Callithrix jacchus: one gene and its partners. The protein of the gene in region 1 binds, or shares a complex with, the protein of each later gene. Links are inferred from orthologs where the notes say so. Each region holds a gene or a part of one and is shown on either strand. Other genes may lie near its edges. The genes, in order: GRK1, RHO and RCVRN.

Evidence for each region.
Region 2: the proteins of GRK1 (region 1) and RHO are in contact, whole or in part, in a cryo-EM structure (PDB 7MT8), measured with the Bos taurus proteins. The link is inferred for Callithrix jacchus from reciprocal best matches to the Homo sapiens genes GRK1 and RHO. Residues at the interface, in NP_776598.1 of Bos taurus: Leu6, Glu7, Thr8, Val9, Val10, Ser13, Ala14, Ile16, Ala17, Ala18, Arg19, Gly20, Asp23, Ala24, Glu184, Asp185, Trp186, Phe187, Leu188, Asp189, Phe190, Val192, Arg195, Glu200, Gln205, Met206, Lys207, Lys221, Arg222, Thr256; in NP_001014890.1 of Bos taurus: Lys66, Lys67, Arg69, Thr70, Arg135, Val137, Val138, Val139, Lys141, Ser144, Asn145, Phe146, Arg147, Phe148, Glu150, His152, Leu226, Thr229, Val230, Ala233, Gln236, Gln237, Glu239, Thr243, Ala246, Val250, Met257, Ile305, Tyr306, Met309.
Region 3: the proteins of GRK1 (region 1) and RCVRN are in contact, whole or in part, in an NMR structure (PDB 2I94), measured with the Bos taurus proteins. The link is inferred for Callithrix jacchus from reciprocal best matches to the Homo sapiens genes GRK1 and RCVRN. Residues at the interface, in NP_776598.1 of Bos taurus: Phe3, Gly4, Leu6, Glu7, Val9, Val10, Ala11, Asn12, Ser13, Ala14, Phe15, Ile16; in NP_776590.1 of Bos taurus: Lys22, Trp31, Ser34, Phe35, Glu38, Cys39, Phe49, Ile52, Tyr53, Lys55, Phe56, Phe57, Tyr86, Leu90, Thr93, Ser94, Phe188, Glu189.

The regions. Positions count from the first base shown.
Region 1 is NC_133502.1:29,136,127-29,143,571, forward strand, and holds the start of GRK1 (rhodopsin kinase GRK1), read left to right. Parts: upstream 1-2,739; 5' UTR 2,740-2,911; coding exon 2,912-3,610; intron 3,611-5,517; coding exon 5,518-5,645; intron 5,646-7,231; coding exon 7,232-7,389; intron 7,390-7,445. UniProt on the Homo sapiens protein: Retina-specific kinase involved in the signal turnoff via phosphorylation of rhodopsin (RHO), the G protein- coupled receptor that initiates the phototransduction cascade.
Region 2 is NC_133516.1:72,618,163-72,625,607, reverse strand, and holds the start of RHO (rhodopsin), read left to right. Parts: upstream 1-2,556; 5' UTR 2,557-2,658; coding exon 2,659-3,019; intron 3,020-4,791; coding exon 4,792-4,960; intron 4,961-6,151; coding exon 6,152-6,317; intron 6,318-6,426; coding exon 6,427-6,666; intron 6,667-7,445. UniProt on the Homo sapiens protein: Photoreceptor required for image-forming vision at low light intensity. Required for photoreceptor cell viability after birth.
Region 3 is NC_133506.1:76,361,111-76,368,555, forward strand, and holds the start of RCVRN (recoverin), read right to left. Parts: upstream 3,923-7,445; 5' UTR 3,831-3,922; coding exon 3,450-3,830; intron 1-3,449. UniProt on the Homo sapiens protein: Acts as a calcium sensor and regulates phototransduction of cone and rod photoreceptor cells. Modulates light sensitivity of cone photoreceptor in dark and dim conditions.

The DNA of each region.
Region 1 (7,445 bases):
GTCCTGCAGCCGGTGAACGGAAACAGGCTGCGGCGCCTCTTCCGCGGAGCACAACTCGGAGGTGAGGAGGGAGTGGCTGACACACCCAGGTGTGGGTGTTCCCGTGGACGACTGTGCTGAGTGAAAGATTCGGACCCTAAAAGGCCACATCCTGTCTGACTCCATTCATACAGCGTTCCTGGAGAAGGGGTGGTTGCCGGGTGTTGAGAAGGACAGGCTGGAGGAACATGGGTGCCATTTGTGAGGGGCCCAGGAGGGTCTCATGGATGGAGGCAGCCTTCGTCTAGACCGTATGGATGTCAGTATCCTCGTTACTTGGCAAGATGCCATCACTACGGGAAACGGAGTGAAGGACCTCTCTGGATTGTTTTTTAACACTGCATGTAAATCTATAATTATCACAAAATAGTTTAATTAGAAAGGGATTTCCAGAGCCAAATGAATTTGGGAAACTGTGTACTTCTTTTTTGAGAGCCACGTTCACCCTGAAATCACTAAGTAAGCTCTGTGATGGGCATATTTAACATATTTTTAACTTTGCTTGTTTAACATATTTAACCTGGTTTAACCAAATGCTTCTCAACATGACCACACGTGGAACAGCCTCCAATCCAATGGGAAACTGTCCTCCTCAGACCCTGCATCTCCGCAGCATCCGCATCACCTGCGGACTTCTTTACAGGTGCACGATCTTGGCCTCTTGAAGCAGAGTCTTTATTCTAGCAAAGTCTCTGGGCAATCTGTGTCCGTAGATGTTTGAGGTGTGGCCCAGGACAGGCAGGGAGACATCAGCAGAGGCGACTTCACTTCACAAAGCTCTGCAGTTGCCCTGATGGGTGAGCAGGCAGGAAGGAGTTAAAGTGATCAGCCCAAGGTCACCAAGGTCACCGCTGTGAAGGGCAGGGCTGGGCCCCTGCAGGGCTCCTGGGATATCACTCAGCTCAAATATTTACTCATGATCCACCTGCCAAAGCTCTCTGGAGGCCATAGGGACCTCGCCTCAGCCTCTTTGGTTGCTACAGAGGACCCTGCACCCAGGTGCAGCCCTGGTGCCCTCCCACAGGTGCCTTTTCTCCTTTGTCGAACATGGTGGGCTGGCGGTCTCAACTTCTGCTCGCTCTGCCATTCTTCCTTTCTGGGATCCTTTGCTTTTTCTCTGTGTGAGTTGGACCCAACACCCTGCTCACATCTCCTCATTCTTCTCCAAACCTTATGTAGTACCTACTGTGTGCTGGAATAAGACAGGCAGGGCCATGCCCTCATGAAGCTGACACTCCTATTGGTGCGACCATCTGCAGGTGTGTCACAGGTGTGTCCCAGGTGTGCCACAAGTGTCTCGGGTATGTCCTACCTGTCCCCCAGGTGCATCCCAGGTGTGTCCCAGCTGTCCCCCAGGTATGTCCCAGGGGTGTCTCAGGTGTGTCCCAGCTGTCCCTGTCTGTCCCAGATGTGCCCCAGGTGGGTCCCAGTTGTCTCCCAGATGTCTCAGGTGTGTTCCAGCTGTCCCCCAGATGTGCCCCAGATGTGCCCCAGGTGTGTCCTAGGTATGCCTCAGATGTGTTTCAGGTGTGCCCCAGCTGCCCCAGGTGTGTCCTAGGTGGATTCCAACTGTGCCTCAGCTGCATTTTAGGTGTTTCAGGCATGGCCCAGGTGTGCTCCAGCTGTCTCAAGTGTGCCCCAGGTGTTCCCCAGCTGTGTTCCAGGTGTGTCCCAGGTGGATTCCAGGTGTGCCCCAGCTCTCAGGTGTGTCACAGGTGTGTCCCAGGTGTGCCCAGGTGTCTCAAGTGTGTCCCAGCTGTCCCCAGATGTGCCCCAGGTGTGCCCCAGCAGTCTCAGCTATCTCAGGTGTGCCCAGGTATGCCCCAGGTGTGCCCCAGGTATGTCCCAGGTGTGCCCCAGCTGCCCCAGGTGTGTCCTGGGTGGGTCCCAAGTGTGCTCCAGCTGCATTTTAGGTATTTCAGGTGTTCCTCAGATGTACTCCAGGTGTGTCCCAGGTGTGCCCCAGGTGTGCTCCAGCTGTCTCAGGTGTGCCCAGGTGTTTCCCCAGCTGTGTCCCAGGTGTGTCTTGGGTGGATTCCAGCTGTACCCCAGCTGTGTCCCGGGTGTGCCCCAGCTGTATTCCACATGTGCCCTTCTGAGTGGAGCCTTGGTTTGGTGTAGCTCTGGGGATCTTCTGCTCCCTGGTGCTGGTGTCACCTGCAACTATCTCTGGGCAATACTGCCTTGCCTGCAAATGCCAGGTGAGTAGAAGAAAAGTGACGGGAGTTGAACCCTCCATAAGAGCTGGTGTCCCCACAGAAAGCTGTTCCCCCCAGGAAGCTTTTCACTGTGGGCTTGTTTCCTCTCTAAATTCCTATTATCAGGTGGTTTTCTTCTCACTTGCTATTTTCTTAAAAATAAAAATGAAATAGAGCAGGGAAAACAGCCTTCATAAATTAAGGTTTCTTCTCGTACCACACTCTCCTGTCCGGCCCCTTGGGAGTGGCTGCGGCAGTTCAGAACACAGCTTTGAGTGCCTCTCCAGCCCGGGGCCCCAGAAGCCTGGGGGTTGTTTGTTCTCAGGGGAAAAGCCACGCGGCCCCTCGGAGGAAGGGGCTGGGCAGAATGTCTAATCGGATTCCAAGCGGCTCAGGGGATTGTCTTTTTCTAGCACCTTCTTGCCTCTCCTAAGCGTCCTCAGTGACCCCAACTGGGATTTAGCCTGGTGCAGTGTCAGCTCTGGGCTCCCAGGGGCTCCCCAGTGGTCCCCAGGCACCCTTGGCACGGCCAGGGCATCTCCCTCGTCCAGCAAGGGCAGGGGCGGGCCACAGGCCAAGGGGAGCAGTCAGGCCTGCTCTGGCTGTGAGTGCCGCAGGCTTGGCCTCGGCCAATGGGCCCTCACGCCTGAGGCGGGCAGGAAGCCAGCTCCGGGATGGATTTCGGGTCCCTGGAGACTGTGGTGGCCAACTCTGCGTTCATCGCCGCCCGAGGCAGCTTTGACGGGAGCAGCTCCCAGTCCTCCCGGGACAAGAAGTACCTGGCCAAGCTCAAGCTGCCCCCGCTGTCCAAGTGTGAGTCCCTCCGCAGCAGCCTCAGCCTGGAGTTCGAGAGCGTGTGCGTGCAGCAGCCCATCGGCAAGAAGCTCTTCTGGCAGTTCCTGCAGTCGGGGGAGAAGCACCTGCCGGCCCTGGAGCTCTGGAAAGACATCGAGGACTACGACACAGTGGACAACGACCTCCGGCCGCAGAAGGCCAAGACCATACTGGCCCAGTACCTGGACCCTCAGGCCAAGCTCTTCTGCAGCTTCCTGGATGAGGGGTCGGTGACCAAGTGTAAGGAAGGGTCTGTGGAGAGCCAAGACAGGCTCTTCCAGCCTGTGCTACAGGCCACCCTGGCACACCTGAGCCAAGCCCCCTTCCAGGAGTACCTGGACAGCCTGCACTTCCTGAGGTTCCTGCAGTGGAAGTGGCTGGAAGCCCAGCCCATGGGGGAGGACTGGTTCCTGGACTTCAGGGTCCTGGGGAAAGGCGGCTTCGGGGAGGTGTCGGCCTGCCAGATGAAGGCCACCGGCAAGCTGTACGCCTGCAAGAAGCTGAACAAAAAGCGGCTGAAGAAGAGGAAGGGCTACCAGGTGAGCCGCACGGCCCAGCTGGCATGGGTGGGAGCAGGGTGGAGAGGGCCCAGGTCGCCCTCAGCGACCGGAGGAGGAAGGGCTACCAGGTGAGCCGCACGGCCCAGCTGGCAGGGGTGGGAGCAGGGTGGAGAGGGCCCAGGTCGTCCTCAGCGGCCCGAGGAGGAAGGGCTACCAGGTGAGACGCACGGCCCAGCTGGCAGGGGTGGGAGCAGGGTGGAGAGGGCCCAGGTCGCCCTCAGCGGCCGGAGGAGGAAGGGCTACCGGGTGAGCCGCATGGCCTAGCTGGCAGGGGTGGGCGCAGGGTGGAGAGGGCCCAGGTCGCCCTCAGCGGCCGGAGGAGGAAGGGCTACCAGGTGAGCCGCACGGCCCAGCTGGCAGGGGTGGGAGCAGGGTGGAGAGGGCCCCCAGGTCGCCCTCAGCAGCTGGTGCCTAAGGCACGCCAGCCTCGACACTGGGATCCCTGTGACCATGCGCTCACAGGCAGTTAGCATCCGTCTCCCTTGGAGAGTGGCTTCCACGTTTTTGGGTGGGGATGTGTCACGTTCAGTTGTCAGTTTTTCACCAGTCACAGAATAGATGGAAAGAGGGCCTCGCAGAGGAGGCTGTGGACGGCGGGGGTCTCCGGATTCTTTGTCCTGACTGCGGAAGACTTTCTGTCCCTGGCTCTGATCATAGCAGAGAATGCAGGAGGAACTGAGGCAGGATGGAGGCGGAGGCAGCCTCGCTCTGATGACTCGTTTGTGTGAGACGGACGGAGCCTGGTGTGATGCCAGGTGCAGGGACTGTTTCCCCGAGTGTGGCTGTTCTCTGGGGTGGGAGTGAGTGACAGGCATGCCGGTGGTGCTGAGTTTCATCCGCTCTGCCCCGCTGGCGTCAGACTGTGCATCTGGGCCAGGATCAGCAGAAGCTGCTTACAGGTCTTAAGGGCAAGATGCAGTGGCCGTGCCGGGCGTGGATGTGATCTCCTGAGCCAGCCCCCTGCACTTCGGCTCCACGAGGCTCCTGGCCTCTCTCCTACCGCGCAGCCATGTTGAGGGCACGGGAAGCTCTCAGGGCAAAGCAGCAGCTGCTGTGCACCCTGGCTCTGCAGGCCCTCAGCCCTGAGTGAAGGCAAAATATCAGGTGCTCGTGGCGCTGGGCAGAGGCCCCGGAACACCTGGGTGTTCTCACCGTGGAACTCAGGGGGAGTAGCCGTGCCGTGTGCTTGTAGCAGTGATTCTAAAAATGAGCTTTCTTGACATCTGATTCTCACACCATGCCATTCACATCTACCTGTCAGTTTAACCCAACAATTAGCCTCTTCTCCTGACTTCGGTCACCTGACTGAACTTCATACTGAGACCAACTGAACACCTCCCCATGAAGTGCAGACAGAGGGGCCTCCTCCTCTAGCCGCAATTCCTTCTTCAAAGAGGGGTGTGCTGTCCTGACCCACACACTTATAGGTTGAGCATCAACCTGTAAGTTGGAGCATCGTGAGGTCTCACAGACAAAATAAAGCAGAGTCGTGAGGAGGTTTGGGAGGCGCTGGGCTGTGAGCCCAGCCCCCGGGGCCAGGACGAGAGGGGGCTGTGGCTGCAGGACTGCTGGGCAGGCCAGGCTGCTGGCGTCCTCATCCGTGTTGCTCAGCCTTGGGCTCGAGCCTCACCTTGCCGGAGGCTGGCCCAGAAGGCCAGAAGCCCCTGTATGTGAAGGATTTCACATGTGTGATTTTCTGATATAGGGGTGCGGGCATGTTTTGAAGTCCTTTGCAATTGCTTTGTGAAAGCTGCATTTAAAGTGTGTTTGCAACTCTGTTTAGTGGCTGTGGGTGCAGTGGGCATGGCCGTGTGCACACGGTCTCTGCGATGCCCTGGCCCCTTTCCTGTTCAAAGCCAGCACTGATGCAACATCTCACTTTTCAGGGTGCTATGGTGGAGAAGAAGATTCTGATGAAGGTGCACAACAGGTTCATCGTGTCTCTGGCATACGCATTTGAAACCAAAGCCGACCTCTGTCTAGTGATGACCATCATGAACGGAGGCGACCTCAGGTAAGGGCTGGTCAGGAAGGTGCCAGGGGACCTGCTTTCCCACTGTGTCAGGGTTTCCAGGGTCTGATGGGGCTGCTTCCCATGTGCAGAGCCATGGCAGCCAAGCCCTGCCCTCAAGGGAAAGCCTTGCCCCCATCACAGTCCCCTTCTCACTGTCTGCAGGCGCTGGTCCCTGAAACAATGCACCTCGGACCCACGTCAGTGCAGGAGCCCGGGAGGTGCCCAACCTGCCAGTCAGGGCACATCCTGTGTGCACCCTGGTGTGTGGGGGGCAGGTGGTGCCTCAGGGGACAAATGATGCAGTGGGGGGGCCTCTGCAGGGCTGGGGGCCTTGCACCAGGAGGGTAAATGAAGATGGACTTCACCAGCACCCACTCGTAGGGCTGACGCCGGAGCTGGAGACAAGACCAATTGGGGGCCGTGGCTTTGCTGTGCCCTGGCAGAGAGGAGGTGCCACTGCCTCCACAAAGTCCTGGCCCCAGATCTGCCTCTGAGGCAGGCCCCAGGCCCGGGTGGGAGATCAGATCTCAGGCTCGCAGTGGGGCAGAGACCTGCTTGGTACCTGGCCCTTGGCCACTGCTTGCTCTGTTTTCTGGTCTGTACGGTGGGGAGAGATAATACTTATGTTCAAAGATTGTTGGAAGATTCAGACAACGTGTGTGAAATACCCAGAGTGTCTGGTACCTGTAAGGGGGGGCTGGGCCATGGCTGTGGTTGGCAGCACTGTGCCCCATTCTCACCTGCTTTTAATTTCCAAGGAAACTACTCCAGGTGAGGCTGGCAGCCCCATTGTTCAGATGAGGAATGTGAGTCCAGACTAAGTCACCACACAAGGCACCTAGAGAGAGGAGGGGAGGGGAGAGGGCCCTGGGAAGGGGAGTCACAGGGGTGCCCAGGTGGAGGGGAGGGGAGAGGGCCCTGGGAAGGGGAGTCACAGGGGTGCCCAGGTGGAGGGGAGGAGAGGTGGCACTGCAAAGCAGGCACAGGTGTGCCCAGGTGGAGGGGAGGGGAGAGGGCCCTGGGAAGGGGAGTCACAGGGGTGCTCAGGCGGAGGGGAGAGGGCACTGTGAAGCAGACACAGGGGTGCCCAGGCAGAGGGGAGGGGACGCTGGGAAGGGGAGTCACAGGGGTGCCCAGGGTTTTGCTTGTTAGGTTTTGCTTCTCTGCAGAACCTGTCAGTGGAAAACATAAAACTGATGTGTTTCGGGGTAAGGAAGAGGCTGAGAAGAAAAATCTTCCTGCAAATCCTTCATACGTCCGAGGAGCTCGGGCCTGTGGAGCTGCGTCCCACCTCGTCCCAGCCCCTTCCTGAGATGGCTTGGGCTGTTTCCCAGCACCTGCGTCCAGGGCTGGGCAGCCGGGGACCGGAGACACACAGGGACAGCCCTTTCTCCCCATTAGCAGTTGTAGTTCAGGGTCCTGAGGTGCTAAGGCCGCCAGCCACCGTGGCCCCGGTGTGCGGGGGCCAGGCCTCAAAACGACCAGAATGCTGGCCGAGCCGTGGTTCTGAGGCTCCCACTCTGTCTTTCCCTGATGTCACTCCCCATTAAACCCTGGGCGCACGGCGCCCGCCTGTCTGCCCCCAGGTACCACATCTACAATGTGAACGAGGAGAACCCTGGCTTCCCCGAGCCGCGCGCCATCTTCTACACGGGACAGATCATCTGTGGCCTGGAGCATCTGCACCAGCGGAGGATCGTCTACCGTGACCTCAAGCCCGAGAACGTCCTGCTGGACAACGACGGTAGGTGCCACCGTGCCTGTGGCTGGGGGGGATGGGCTCTGAGGAAGGGCGGGCGC
Region 2 (7,445 bases), on another chromosome or scaffold:
CTCATGAGGACAGGAAGCAGAGGCTGCAGTGGGCTATGATTGCGCCACTGTGCTCCAGCCTGAGTGACAGAGTGAGACCTTGTCTCAAAATTTTTTTTCTTTCTCAAGCTTTACAAATACAGAGCACTGCCATGTCAGTGATGGCTCTTATTTCCTCATCACCAGGACTCCATGAGATTGAGATTGTGAAACTCACAAGAGAGGAAACTGAGACAGAGAGCGGAAGAACTGGGATCATCAGGTCCATTCCCCCACTCACTCCCTCATTCAACAAATATTCAGGGAGCACCTTCTAGGTGCCAGGCTCTGGAGGCATGTCAGTGAACAAAACAGCCAACATCCCACCTCTTTCCACCACAGGCCAGGTGCCATGCTGGGCTCTGGGAACCCTGTTGTGAACAAGACAGACCCAGGCCCACCCTTGTGGACTCACGTTGCAGGCAGGGAGACCGGCACAAAACTCATGCACAGAACACAAAAGGCTTCATGCTGTCAGAAGCACCAGGCAACAGGCAAGGCGCCAAGGTGCTGCTAAGCTGTGTAGGGCAGGGGCTCAGCCCTTCCAGGGAGGGGCCGGGTGTGGGTCAGTCTTGACCCAAGGCATCCAGGACACCCTCCTTCTGGCCATGAGGGTCCACATCAGAATCAAACTCCCACCTTAACCTCATTAGCGTTGGGCATAATCACCAGGCCAAACACCTTAAACTCCAGGAGGTCCCATCCCACCCGCCCTGCCTCAGCACTGCCACGTGTGCCAAGCCCTGTTAGACCCAACACTGCCCAGGCCAGGCAGGGGGCTAGAGCCCAGGTGGGCTGCAGGGAAGGGGGCACCCTTCTGAACAGACAGATCTAGGAATCCTGGGTGAGAGAGAGATTAAGGGACACTTTCCTGGCCTCAGGGCTCTGCACTCGCAGGGGTCCCTCTGCCCGGATGACCTTCCCCTGAAGCTTCCGCCTGTTGTTCCGGCTCTCCACTCAAGCTCCAGCTTCTCAGAGAAGCCTCCTGTGTTGGGAGTGGCTGTGACTGAACTGTCCTCACTCTTACTCGCTCCATTATTCTTTTGTGGTCCCTGTGTCCCCACCCCCACAGAAACACTGGCTTCTTATGGGGAAGGGAGCTTGCTCTTTTGTGTCCCCCGAGTGGAGACTCAGGGGGGACACAAGCACCTTGTCTGGGCCACAGTAGGTGCTCAGTACACATGCTGGCTGGACGGTGGTCACTGAGTGTTCGAACATCAGGCACTCTCAGCACCTGCACAGGCCACCCTGGCCACCCCACTTCATTCCTAGGAGGTGACATCGTGTTCCTTGGATAGCTTGAAGAGGGAGATCTACCTCCATTTGCCCCCAGGCCATCTGCCCCCAAGGCTCTGACTACTTTCTTTCCCACAGTGCATCCTGCTGTCCTGGAACCAGCCCTCATGGGGCCACCTGGCACATGGCATCTGAGACCCTCGTGGTTGACCAGACCTTCCCTAACAGGACCCTGTCTGCTGCCTCCAGGATGGGCCTCCCCTTCAGACTGGAGTCCCTGAGGGGCTCTGTCTCTCCCCTGCTCTGGTAGCCCCCTCCATCCTCCCTCCCTCCACTTTAGCTTTGGAGACATTTGAGTCACCTTTCTACCCCAGAGATCTGCCCAAGCCACTGCCCACTTCCCTCTGGATAAAGCCATGTTACTCGACTTGCTGTTCAAGACCCATCACAACTGCCCCCAGCCCGGGTCTTCCTCACCCGGCCACCTGGCAAACTGCTCCTTCTCCCAAAGGCCCAAACATGGCCTCCTGGGCTGCATTCCCCCAGGCAGTCAGACCCATCTCCACAACCTCACAGACACCCTGGGCGGAATCTGCTTCTTCCCAGTTCTGAGTCCTCCTCAGCCCCTGAGCTACTCTGGGCAGGTCTGTTTCTTTTCCATCTTTGTATTCCCAGGGGCCCACAGATAAATGTTTAATGAACAAACTCACAGAGTGAATTCCAATTCCATGCAACAATGATTGGGCTTCTGGGCCCCAGGCCATCTGTCTGGCACCAGGAACGGAAGCTGGAAGATGCAACCCCTGCCCTCGTGGAGCTCCTCTTGCAGGAGGAGTGTGGGGACTGGATGTGCCCAGAGGGAACAAACAGGTTAGGGGCTGTATAACGAGATGAGAGACTGGGAGAATAAACCCAAGAGCCTCTAGCTGTCCAGAAACTCTCAGTCCAGTCCAGACAAAGATCCGAAGTCAGCTCATATTAAGCCAGGAAAAATGGCACAGAGGCCCATGGTCCCCATTTCAGACCAAGGCCACCAGACTGAGTTGGGACCTTGGGACAGACAAGTCACATAGAAGTTAGGGGCCTTCTCCTCCCTTGCCCAAGGTCCTGAGTACCTCCCCTCCCTGACCTCAGGCTTCCTCCTGGTGTCACCTTGGACCTCTGGGAAGCCAATTAGGCCCTCCATTTCTGCAGCGGGGATTAATATGATTATGAACACCCCAATCTCTCAGATGCTGATTCAGCCAGGAGCTTAGGAGGGGGAGGTCACTTTATAAGGGTCTGCGGGGGGTGGGGGGGGTCAGAGCCCGGAGTCATCCAGCCGGAGCCCTGAGTGGCTGAGCTCAGGCCTTTGCAGCATTCTTGGGTGGGAGCAGCCGTGGGGCAACCACAAGGGCCACAGTCATGAATGGCACTGAAGGCCCTAACTTCTACGTGCCCTTCTCCAACGCGACGGGCGTGGTGCGCAGCCCCTTCGAGTACCCTCAGTACTACCTGGCAGAGCCATGGCAGTTCTCCATGCTGGCCGCCTACATGTTCCTGCTGATTGTGCTGGGCTTCCCCATCAACTTCCTCACGCTCTACGTCACCGTCCAGCACAAGAAGCTGCGCACGCCTCTCAACTACATCCTGCTCAACCTGGCCGTGGCTGACCTCTTCATGGTCTTCGGTGGCTTCACCACCACTCTCTACACCTCTCTGCATGGATACTTCATCTTCGGGCCCACAGGATGCAATGCGGAGGGCTTCTTTGCCACCCTGGGCGGTATGAGCCGGGTGCGGGTGGGGTGTGCAGGAGCCCGGGAGCATGGAGGGGTCTGGGACAGTCCCAGGCTTGGCGGTGGTGGCTGAGAGGACTTCTCTCTTCTCCTCTCCTGTCAGCATTATCTGAAGCCCTCATATATTCAGTCAACAAACACCGTTTCGTGGTGATATCTGGGCAATTTGTGCAGGGCTGGCACTGAACACTGCCTTGATCTTATTTGGAGCAAGGCGCTCGTCTCATTTCACAGCAAGGAAACTGAGCTGAGGCTCAAAGAAGTCGAGCGCCCTGCTGGGGGTCACACAGGGATGGAGCTGAGTTTGAAGCTCGCATCTGTGTTGCTCCTTGGGCCATGTTCGGAACACCAAGCCTCTGTTTCCCTCGGAGCAGCTGGGCTGGGTCAGACCCAGGCTGGGCACCAAGGGGAGAGCTGGGCAAGCCAGACACCTCCTTTCTGGGGGCCCCAGCCCGGGGCAGGAAGCGGATTCTCCATCCTCCGGTCATTGGGTCTTCCCTGTGCTGGGCGTTGGGCCGGTCCCCTCTGGCATCCTCTGCCTCTCCTCCCAGCCTCCTGTCCTTGGGTGCCCCTCCAGCCTCCCTGCCGTGCTCCTGGGCTCCTGGTGTTAAGAGCTGCACGCCGCCCCTCTGAAGCAACTCCTTTCACAGGTGATATGTGGCTGTGAAAGATGCTTTAGAATAATGTTTTGCTTTTAACAGGAAAATAAACGGGGGTGCTGCAGAGATAACAGATCTCACTTAACAGAGGGGAAAACTGAGGCAGGAGAGGGGAAGAGACTAATTTTGGGATGTGGCTGGGCAGCAGCAAGAGCCTAGGTCTTGGCACTGATCCAGGAATGTGTCCGCTGAGATGCAGGAGGAGACACTCATGGCAGCCATTGCAAAGCCAGGGTGACAGGGAGAGCTTAGCGCCAGCCACAAGCGTGGCTCTGCCAGCCTTGCCCCCTGGCCCCATGTCCAGGCAGCATCCTTGGCCCCACTCTCAGGGACTCTCTGGCCATTGTTGGGTGTTTAGTACATTCAATAATCAGAGATCGCCCAGTTCTGGCCAGAAGGTGGGGGTGCCACAAAGGGTGATTTTCCTCTGCAGGGTCAGTCCCAGTTTATAATTATCGTCCCATTCACTGTCAGGAGTGGTTGGTAAACTATATGGCCACTCTCCCTGTGGAACTTCGTGGGGTGGTGAGCAGGGCAGATGTCTGAATGCCATCGTTTCCTTCTTCTTCCTCTGTGCAAAACATTGCCTGATGCTTCATGGTTCCTAGGAGAGGGTCCCACATGCCCTGCATTATTTCATCTCCCGAGAGGGGAGAGGGAGGAAGGACCCCAACTCTGGGTTTCAGCCACCTCTGCATTCCTTCCCAACAAGGAACTCTGCCTCACACTTAAATGCATTCTTCTGTTAAAACACACACACACACACACACACACACACACACACACACACACCCCACCCTACCGGGTTCCCAGTCCAGTCATGACCTACTGATCTGATTCGTGTCTCTCATGCATCCAGAGCTCTAAGCAAATAACTTCCCCCATTCACTGAGTTTCTTTGCCCAGCTCCCCTCAGTGTGGGGTCCCTCTGCCCCTTCCTCCTCCTCCCAGTATCAAGCTCTCTCCTTCCTCAAGGGCTCTTCAGGGCCCTCTCTCGCTCCAGGTTGCTTTCCTAGCTACCCTCTCCTTGTCTAGGGGTAGTGCGCCCTCCTTAGACAGGCAGTGGGGTCAATGCTGACCGCCTGCTGGCTGCCTTGCAGGTGAAATTGCCCTGTGGTCCTTGGTGGTCCTGGCCATCGAGCGGTATGTGGTGGTGTGTAAGCCCATGAGCAACTTCCGCTTCGGGGAGAACCATGCCATCATGGGCGTTGCCTTCACCTGGGTCATGGCCCTGGCCTGCGCCGCACCGCCCCTCGCCGGCTGGTCCAGGTAATGGCATTGGGCAGAAGGGAAGGGGCTCCAGGGGCTCTCTGTAGGGTCCTCCAGTCAGGACTCAAACACAGTGCTGTCTGGTTCCAGACACTGACCTTGTAATGTCTTCTGGCCCAAATGCCCACCCAGGGTAGGGTGTAGGACAGAAGGAGGAACAGACTCTAAAGCTGCTGAAGGGCTGGTCCCACCTCCTGAGCTCCAAGTCAAAGAGAATCCAAGACATCCCAAGCCTTCACCTTGGCTGTGCCCCTAATCCTCAGCTAAGCCAGGCGCAAATTCCAATCCTCTTTGGTCTAGTGCCCCGGGAGCAGCCCCCTCTAACCTTGGGCCTCAGCAGTGGGGGAGGCCACGCCTTCCTAGTGCAGGTGGCCATATTGTGGCCCCTGGGAACTGGGTCCCATTTGGCCTCTAGGCAATTCCAAATGGGGCTGAGATGAGACACAGCGGGGACGGTGGTTTGGACATCAGGACTGGTGACTGGTCCCCAGAGGCCTCGTGTCCCTCTGCCTCCAGAAAATTCCCACTCTCACTTCCCTTTTCTCCTCAGACTGGCTAGGGTCCATTTCTTACCCCTTGCTGAATCTCAGCCCACCCCCTGGACTTTTTCCCCATCTTCTCCAGTCTGGCCTAGTTCCATCCTCTGGAATCACAGCCATTGGACGCTCTGGGTTTCCTGAGGCCATTTCACTGCCACCAACATCAGGAACCATTGCCACGTCCTAACCATGTGCCCTGGGAGCCTCTTGTTTCCAGAAGCTGCACAGAGATCCCTTAGATACCCTGTGTGTCTGTCTTTGGCCTGGAAAATACTCTCACCCTGGTGCTAGTTTGTACAAACTGCCGCAAATACAGAGCCTGAGGGCTCTCCCCTCGTCCTCACCAACCTCTGCCTGGCATAGCCTGAGGCTCAGCAGGCAGCGGATGCTGAGGCAGGGCACGCAGGGAGAGGCTAGGTCATGTCATCTGGTACCGCAGCCACCAAACAATGAAGCGACACTGATTCCACAAGGTGCATCTGCATCCCCACCGGATGCAGTCCATCCTGTCACCCAGCCACGCAGACCTTTATGATCCCCTTTCCAGGGAGGGAACAGGAAGCCCCAGAGAGGGCCAGTGCTTGGCAGGCACCTTGGCCGGGGCCATTCCCAAGTCCCTCACAGGCAAGGTCTCCCTACCTGCCTGTCTCAGGTACATCCCTGAGGGCCTGCAGTGCTCATGTGGAATCGACTACTACACGCTCAAGCCGGAGGTCAACAACGAGTCCTTTGTCATCTACATGTTCGTGGTCCACTTCACCATCCCCATGATTGTCATCTTCTTCTGCTATGGGCAGCTTGTCTTCACCGTCAAGGAGGTACGGGCTGGGGGTGGGTGGCCTCTGAGCGTCCAGCCCCCAACGCACATCTACAGCTCCTGCTCCTCGGAGGAGCCATGGTCTGGACCCGGGTCCCGTGTCCCTGCAGGCCGCCGCCCAGCAGCAGGAGTCGGCCACCACACAGAAGGCGGAGAAGGAGGTCACCCGGATGGTCATCATCATGGTCATCGCTTTCCTGATCTGCTGGGTGCCCTATGCCAGCGTGGCATTCTACATCTTCACACACCAGGGCTCCAACTTCGGTCCCATCTTCATGACCATCCCAGCGTTCTTCGCCAAGAGCGCCGCCATCTACAACCCTGTCATCTATATCATGATGAACAAGCAGGTGCCTACTGCGGGTGGGAGGGCCCCAGTGCCCCAGGCCACGGGCACTGCCTGCTAAGGATAAGCTATGTGCCAGGGCAGGGGAGGGGGCTCCATCAGGGCTACTGGCAGTGGGGCTCACGGGTCAGCAGTGTCAATGGGGAGCGTGTGAGAAATGCAGGTTCCTGGACCCCACCCAGACCTGCTGAATCTCAGGGTGGGCCCAGGAACCTGCATCACCAGCAAGCCCTCCAGGTGCCTCGGATCCTCACTCAGGTGTCAGAAGCTCCAGTCCAGATGGTTCTGGAAGCCTGATGTCAACGTCAGCAGGTCCCAGGCCGAGAATGGGATGGGCCAGTCTCCATAAAGCTGAATAAGGAGCTAAAAAATCTTATTCTGAAGGGTAAAGGGATAAGGCAGTCCCATAACAAAGAGCAAGTGGTTTCCCCGAGGAACCCAGAAGGGGGGAAACAGTCTCTGAAGTCAGCTCTGCCATTTTCCAGCTTGTGGCGCTGGGCAAGTCAGTTCCCCTCTCTGGGCCTTGGTTTCCTCATCCATAGAAAGGGCAAAACACCAAACTCTCAGATTACAGGAGAGAATTTGCAGCACACCCTTGGCACGCAGAGGGCACCATGAAATGTTGAGGGTGATGCAGTCCCCTATTGCTCGGTCCCTGGCATCTCTACGGGTGGGGAGTGTCTGCTTAGCAAGTTCCCTCCAGGAGGCCGGATTTGAGTGGAACTGTGAGGGGCACAAGCCGGGAAAGGGTTGGGGCAAACCTCACCAACGTGCCAGTTCCAA
Region 3 (7,445 bases), on another chromosome or scaffold:
CCTTCCAGCTCCAAGTTTCTAGGATTCCACTGGCCCAGGAACACCAGTGCCAGCCAGGTCCAGAAGGGACACCCAAGGCAGTAGGTCCTTGGATGCTGAGGACAGGCAGGTATGTTGGGTGGGAGTTGGGAGGTTACTGGCTCTGGCCAGAGCCTTTTGTCTCCCTGGAGACACCTGTGAGCAGGTCAGGCAGGGGCAATAATGGCTATGAAATTATTCTTGAGGGAAGGCTTTGAGAAGTTCTCCTTCAGCCCCCTGGTGCTGGAAAAAGGAGCAGGGAGACCAAAGGCAGCAGCCCAAGGCAGCAGCCTTGCTGGCAGCACCCAGAGCCCTGAGGTGGACACAAGTAGGTGCCTCCCACACTCATCTTGGTCTGTGCAGGGCCTGGGGTACCATGTGCAGGTGTGCCAGCTGAAGCTGGGAGTGACTGCCTGCCCACCCCACTTCCAACATGGAGGGACAGACCTTCAGGGTCTTAGAAAAGGCTTCAAAAATAATCAAATCCTCACCCTGGGTCCAGGAAGGTTATATGGTTTTCCCACAGCAACACAGCTAGTTGGAATCAGAGCAGGGGCTAGAATCCTTCACTTGTGACTCCCCCACGGAGTGCTCTGCCCATGAACTTGTAATCTGGTGAATAGCAGAGCCTTCTGTCACCTTGCACAGCCTCAGCCACTGATGGCTTCTCCCTCCCTCCCTTTCTTCTTTCTTCTTTTCTCTCCTCCTTTCCTTCTCCTCCCTCCCTTCTTTCCTCCCCCTTGCTTCCCTCTCTTTCCTTCCTGACTCCTATCCCGCCTCTTTCCCTCCATCCGCCTTTTCTTCAAGGAGTATCCATTTGTAGGCTTCTGCTAGGCCCCGCATTTTTTATGCATCTCTGAAGACTTAGTCCCTGTCCCAGGCCACCCAGAGACCCCACAACCAATCCTGGGGAGCTCCTCTGCAGGCTGTGCTGAGATAGCAATGAGGGTGACACATACCTGCCGGAACAGGAGACCCGAGCCGAGCACTGAGCATAAACCCATGGACCACAAGCCGTATGCTTTGCTGTTTTATTTATGGTTTCTCCTAATAAAAGTGGAAGATTTTCGTGCATTTGCAGTCATGCAAATGAAAGCATGATTAAAAATGCACAAAACAGTCTGTCTACTAACAGAAATGGAATTAGAACAATAAACCAATGGCAGGGGCAGCAGGACTGAAAAAGAACAAGTAAAAAATATCAAATGAAGGAAATGAGAACTGGTAAAATAGGAAAGAAATGGAAACACCCTAATGTCCAAAAACATAGGAATGTTAAATAATTTCCACATTTCCGTAAGCTAGAACTCCAAACAGCTATTAAAAGTGTTTTGGAAGAGGTTGGGTGCGGAGGCTTATGCCTATAATCACAGCACTTTGGGAGACCGAGGTGGGTGTATTATATGAGGTCAGGCATTCAACACCAGCCTGGCCAACATGGCAAAAACCCATCTCTACTGAAAATACAGAAATTAGCTGGGTGTAGTGCCAGGTGCCAGTAATCGCAGCTGCTTGGGAGGCTGAGGCAGGACAGGAGAATTGCTTGAACCTGTGAGGCAGAGGCTGCAGTGAGCTGAGATCATGCCACTGCACTCCAGCCTGGGCGACAAGAGCAAAACTCTGTCTGAAGAAAAAAGAAGTGTTTTGGAAGAATATGTAATGATATGGAAAGCACTCATGATAAAAGAAAATGTATGATAAAAATCATATGTGAATATGTCATAGCTTTAACATTGTTTAAAATTATATAGATAAAAGACTGAAAAGGTTCCTATTGATACAGCAAGAAAAGTTTTCCCTGGATGTTGGAATTAGAGGCAGTTTTTAGTCTCTTTTGCCTATGCTTTTAAATTTCATCAGTTACTTCTAACAGATAAACCATTTTCAAGACACCTATTAGGTTGGTGCAAAGTAATTGTGGTTTTTGCCATTGCTTTCACAACAAAGGATCTCACATGAGGACACTATGGATGGAGAAGGTGTGCTGGGAACCATGTGGAAGCATGTGTGCCTCACAGGGAACCTGCCAGGAGCCAAGGAACCTGCCAAGGAGCCGCCGCATGTGGGAAGCGGGGGCTCATGCGTGGTGCGGGTGGTGCGGGTGGTGCGGTGACCCACCTGGCGCTGGGGAGAACCTTAAGACTAGAACTCAGAGTTTACTCAACTTTGACCTTTTTCGACTTTATATTTGAAGCATATTGTGTGTTTAGAATTAATCATTGATTCAACTTGAATGTGTACTGCTGAAAATTTTAAAGGACTTTTTTGTTTGTTTCTTTGTTTGAGATGGAGTTTTGTTCTTGTTGCCCAGGCTGGAGTGCAATGGCGCAATCTCAGCTCACCACAACCTCCACCTCTTGGGTTCAAGCGATTCTCCTGCCTCAGCCTCCCGAGTAGCTGAGATTACAGGCATGCACCACCACATACGGCTAATCTTGTATTTTTAGTAGAGATGGGGTCTTTCCATGTTGGTCAGGCTGGTCTCAAACTCCTGACCTTAGGTGATCTGCCCACCTTGGCCTCCCAAAGTGCTGGGATTACAGGCGTGAGCCACCTTGCCTGGCCTAAAGGACATTTTAATAAAGGAAGGACGAAACGAAGGATGGAGAGAGAGAAAAAAAATGTAAATATAGTCACGTGTCACTCAAAGACAGGAATACATTCTGAGAAACACATCATTAGGCAGTTTCCAGGTGGGGACATCATACAGCGTCCTCACACAAACCCAGAGAGTGGAGCCTACAACACCCCCTGACTCGGTGGTCCAGCCTTTTGCTCCTAGGCTACAAACCCATGCAGCATGTGGCTGTCCTGAATGCTGCAGGCAGTTATCACATGATGGTTAGTATTTGTGGATCTAAATGTATTTAAATATAGAAATCATACAGTAAAAATACAGTATAAAGACCTGTCTAGGGCACTTACCTTGAGGGGAGCTTGCAGGATTGGGAGTCGCTCTGGGTGAGTCAGTGAGTGAGTGGGGAGTGCATGTGAACACCCAGGACATTACTGTACTCTACTGCAGACTTTCTAGATGCTCTACACTTAGGCTACACTAAATGCATTTGAAAAATCAAGTAACTTTGCTATGACATCACTAGACAATAGGAATTTTTCAGCTCCATTACGATTTCATGGGACCACAATGATATATATGGTCTATTGTTGACCTGAACATGGCTAAGCCACGCGTCACAGGACTGTATTAGAAAACACTCAGATTCTTCTTCAGGAAGAAAATGAAGCTGTGGGCAAGTGCCCACCCCTCTTACCAATATCAGCATCTTGGAGCACCACTCTCTCAGAGCCAGTGTGGCCTGAATCCCCCCTCCACCCACAGCTCTACTCCCACTGCAGCAGCCGCAGCAGGGGACTCCCCAGCCCTGAGTGACCCCAGCACCACCCAGCCAGAAGGGGAGAGGGACACTGACTAGGACGATCTCCAGCACTTCATTCTTGCTGATGGTCCCATTGCCATCCACGTCATAGAGGGAGAAGGCCCACTCCAGCTTCTGGTTGGTCTTGCCCGCGGTGGTCATATGCAGGGCGATGATGTACTCCTTGAAGTCCAGGGTGCCGTCGAGGTTGGAATCGAAGCTGCGGAACACATGCTGGGCGTAGGCCTTGGGGTCAGCATCGGGGAAGAACTTGGAGTAGATGTTCTGGAACTGCTGCTGGGTGATGCGGCCGCTGGGGCAGTCTCTCAGGAAGGACTGGTACCAGGTGGACAGCTCCTCCTCTGAGAACTTGGTGTTCAGCTGCAGCTCCTCCAGGATCTCCTTGGACAGGGCCCCACTTTTGCTGTTCCCCATGGGTAAGGAAGAGTGGGCAGCAGCTGGGGAGTCGCTGGGTGGGTGGGACGTGTGTGGTGCCCTGGCTGCAGGCTGGGGCTCAGGGCTGCTGTGAGCTGAAGACGGAGATGCTGGTGGCTTAGGAGGATTTGAGACCAGTTCTTCCCAATCCTTGAAGGGAGGAGGGGCCCAGGAGCTTTGTGGAGGTGGTGGTGGTGGGGAGGGCGGTGGGGGGATGCTCCCAGAACGCTATTGAGATTAAAGCAAAGAGCCCAGGGCAGGCAGGCAATTCATCTTGGCCTCCTGGAAGGATACCAGAACAAAACAGGAGGTTGGAACCTTCAGAGCTCTTGTACCACTAGAGCTCTAAGGCAACCATGTTCCCTGTTTCTCTTCCTTACTAACTCTGAGTGTCTCAGGGAGGGCTGGCATCTCCCACTGAGCCCTAGAATTCAGTTGTTAGGAGCACAGGCTCTGGAGCCAACATTGGTTCAAATCCCAGCTTGGCTACTTAACTAGCTATGTGACCTCAGGCATGTTTCTTAACCTCTTTCCACCTGGGACAATCTTCTAATCCTTCACTGCAGTCACGTTTCTGCTTAAATGTCACCTTCCTGGCTAGGCCTATGTATACTGACCCTCTATCTATAACAGCACACCATCATTGGCATGCCCCATGTCCCCTCACCAGAATGAAAGCTCCTGAAAGACGGGATTTTGTCTGTGTTGTTCCCAGATGCATTTCCATGGCCAGAACAGTGCCTGACAAGCTTGGGCCCCCAGTAAGTCTTTCTTGAATAAATGGGCATCATAGCGTCTACCTCACCATCATGGTGGGGCTGAAGTGAGTCAATACGTGCGACACGCTTAGAATAGAACCTGGCACACAGCTAATGCTAAACACTTACTCGTTTTCTTGCTGTTCATCGGTCACAGAGAGTGAAGGTAAACTCCCTGTCGGCGGGTGGCCAGCAGGTGGGAGGGACAGCAGGGAGCAGCCAGGCCTGTGTCGCCTTGAGAAGGGGCTGCCAGCAAATGTGGTCCCATGGGATCGTGATTTTTTTTTTTTTAAATGATTTAAGAGAAATAAAAAAATCAGAGTTTTAGATGCAGTTTGCACACTTTTCAGCTTTGGCAATTGATTGGAAATTTTCAAAAACACGGTGTGGGCTAAACACAATCTATCTGTGGCTCCATGCCCGTCTGCAGCGGAGCACAGCGCTGGGAGTGAGCAGGCAGGAAAATGTGTTTGCTGAGTGAATGGGTAAATCCCTGAGTGGCCAAGAGAGGGAGGTGTGTGAGGGCAGGCTTCGCATCCCAGGGGAGTACCGACTGAGCAGTGAGGATGCTGCACACCTGGATTCTTATCACCCAGAGGGAAGGGAGTGTGGGCGTGCACTTTGCTTAGCAGAGAGCAATGCTTCACAGGGGGTGAGGGAATGGGGGCGGTCAGGACACACTCAGAACCCCAGCCTTGCCACTGTGGATGGAGAGTTGTCACTTTTTGCCCTGGGGTGAGAATCATGAAGAATAAACCCTTCAGTCTTCAGGCAGGTAAAGTGTATTTTTTTTAGATCGAGTCTACCTCCATTGTTTAGGCTGGAGTGCAGTGGTACAATCTTGGTTCACTGCAACCTCTGCCTCCTGGATTCAAACAATTCTCCTGTATCAGCCCCCAGAGAAGCTGGGACTACAGATGTCTGCCACCATGCTCAGCTGAGTTTTTTCTTTTTCTTTCTTTTTTTCTTTTAGTAGAGTCGGGGTTTCACCATATTGGTCAGGCTGGTCTCGAACTCCTGACATCAGATGATCCACCTGCCTCGAATCTCAAGGTGTAATGTGTGGGTTTTAGCCTACTTCCTAACAGGCTAGTGGCAGCAGAAGGTAGGTCCTTGCTGCTGGGAGAAGGCCACCTGCCAGGCCCACCTGATGTCGCTCAGGAAGGAATGAGAGATTCAGGCACTGAGGGACTGACTCATCCCTCCCAGCCACCCTGCTCACTGCAATTTCAGAAGTTTCTCAAGAAACCTGAATGTTGGTGTGTGTGTGTGTGTGTGTGTGTGTGTACTTTCTAATGTTTCCCATCACTTTGTGAGAAAATATAATTTCTTAACAGGACTCCTTTCTCTCCTAGGCTTTCACCATCCTGCAGTGTGCATTTATTCTCAAGAGCAGTTAGAAATAGGACGGTCACCAATCTCAAAAACAAATGAACCAAGCGAGCCCAAGCCACACTTTGGAATCGCATTCACTTCCAGAGCTTCCTTGCCGCCCTGAGGCAGCTCTGGGGATGTAGGGAGTGTGAGGCCAGAGGCCTCGGCCCTTTGCTCTGAGCTGCAAGTGGGAGGCCAAGGGAAGCGCTTCCTGGATCACACTCCTGTCGGCATCAAGCCTGCAGATGGCCAGGCCAGTGTGATGGGTGAGACGTGGATGCTCCTAAAGGCATGTCGCCAGTCCGGAGTCACATGTTGCTAAATGGGGATGCCAGGAGGAAGGAAAGCCCAGGCCTGACAACTGTCTGGCTAGATTGTTGTCTGAGAAACAGGACAGGCAAAATCAAATGGCACACACAGCCTGCGGCCCTCAGTTTGAGACCCGGAACAAACTGACAGATCCCAGTTCCTTTTAGGTTGCCAGCTCACCTTTTAGGGTAAGGCGTGAAACTGCACGCTTCCTGGTGACACTGGCCATTTCTTGTTTGACTTTACATCAGAAGCTGTAGGCACATGAATGAGTAGGGGAGTGGATGGGTCCCAGACGTTCCCTGACTCTTCATTTTCACATTGCGTGATAAAGACTGCAGGAGTCTAGGCCTGCACTGTCCAACACTATTGAGGCTTCCTTTGTCTACACCACAGGAGGCCTGAGCCTGGAGGACAAGGAGGTGAGGAGCTGGGGTTGCCACGGCAATGAAAGAGGTCCCGGGTGAGGCAGAAGGCAGCCAGGGGCTGCGTCTTTGCTGTTCTCTCCGGCCAGCCGGGCACAGGAGGAAGGAGCTGGACCCAGGTTGGCAGCAGCCTGGTACAGTCCACATTCCCCAGGTTGCTGTGCCCAGAAGGGGCCCCAGGAGACCGCAGGCAGCTGTGTTGATGCTGAGAGTGAGGGGTCATGACCTAGAGGTTTGTTTGAAAACCTGCATAAACATCTTCTATCAGAGGGAAAGCTTATGCTCCTTAGCCAAACAAGTTGTTGGAGATGATGTATTGTGAGTGGATTTGTTAAGTCTGAGCTGAGGCCATAAACTCTCCCAAATCCCAAAGACTGCTCTTGAGAAGGCTTCCTCTCCAGGCAGATGATTCCAGTTCACGTCCTCACTTTGCCTAGACTGAAAGATGCTTCCCAGAAGCTGGCCCTGTCCCCTCAAGCAGGAGCTTCATCTTGGCCATTAGCTGGGACCCAGCCACCACCCCTTCCCCATTGCTCAACCTTGCCGGGTATGAGCTGAGGGCCAAGGCGACCCTCCTGCCCTCTGGCCTGGTGCCAGCACCTACAGGGAAGTCTGCATTGAGAGGGAAAAGGGGGTATGGAAAAGGTGGTAGGGGAGAAAGAGAATGGGGAAAGACCCTCCTCCCTCAGCTGTCCCCATTGCAGAAAACGATAATCCGTCTTCTTGATGACTTGGATGGAGGCCCTTGG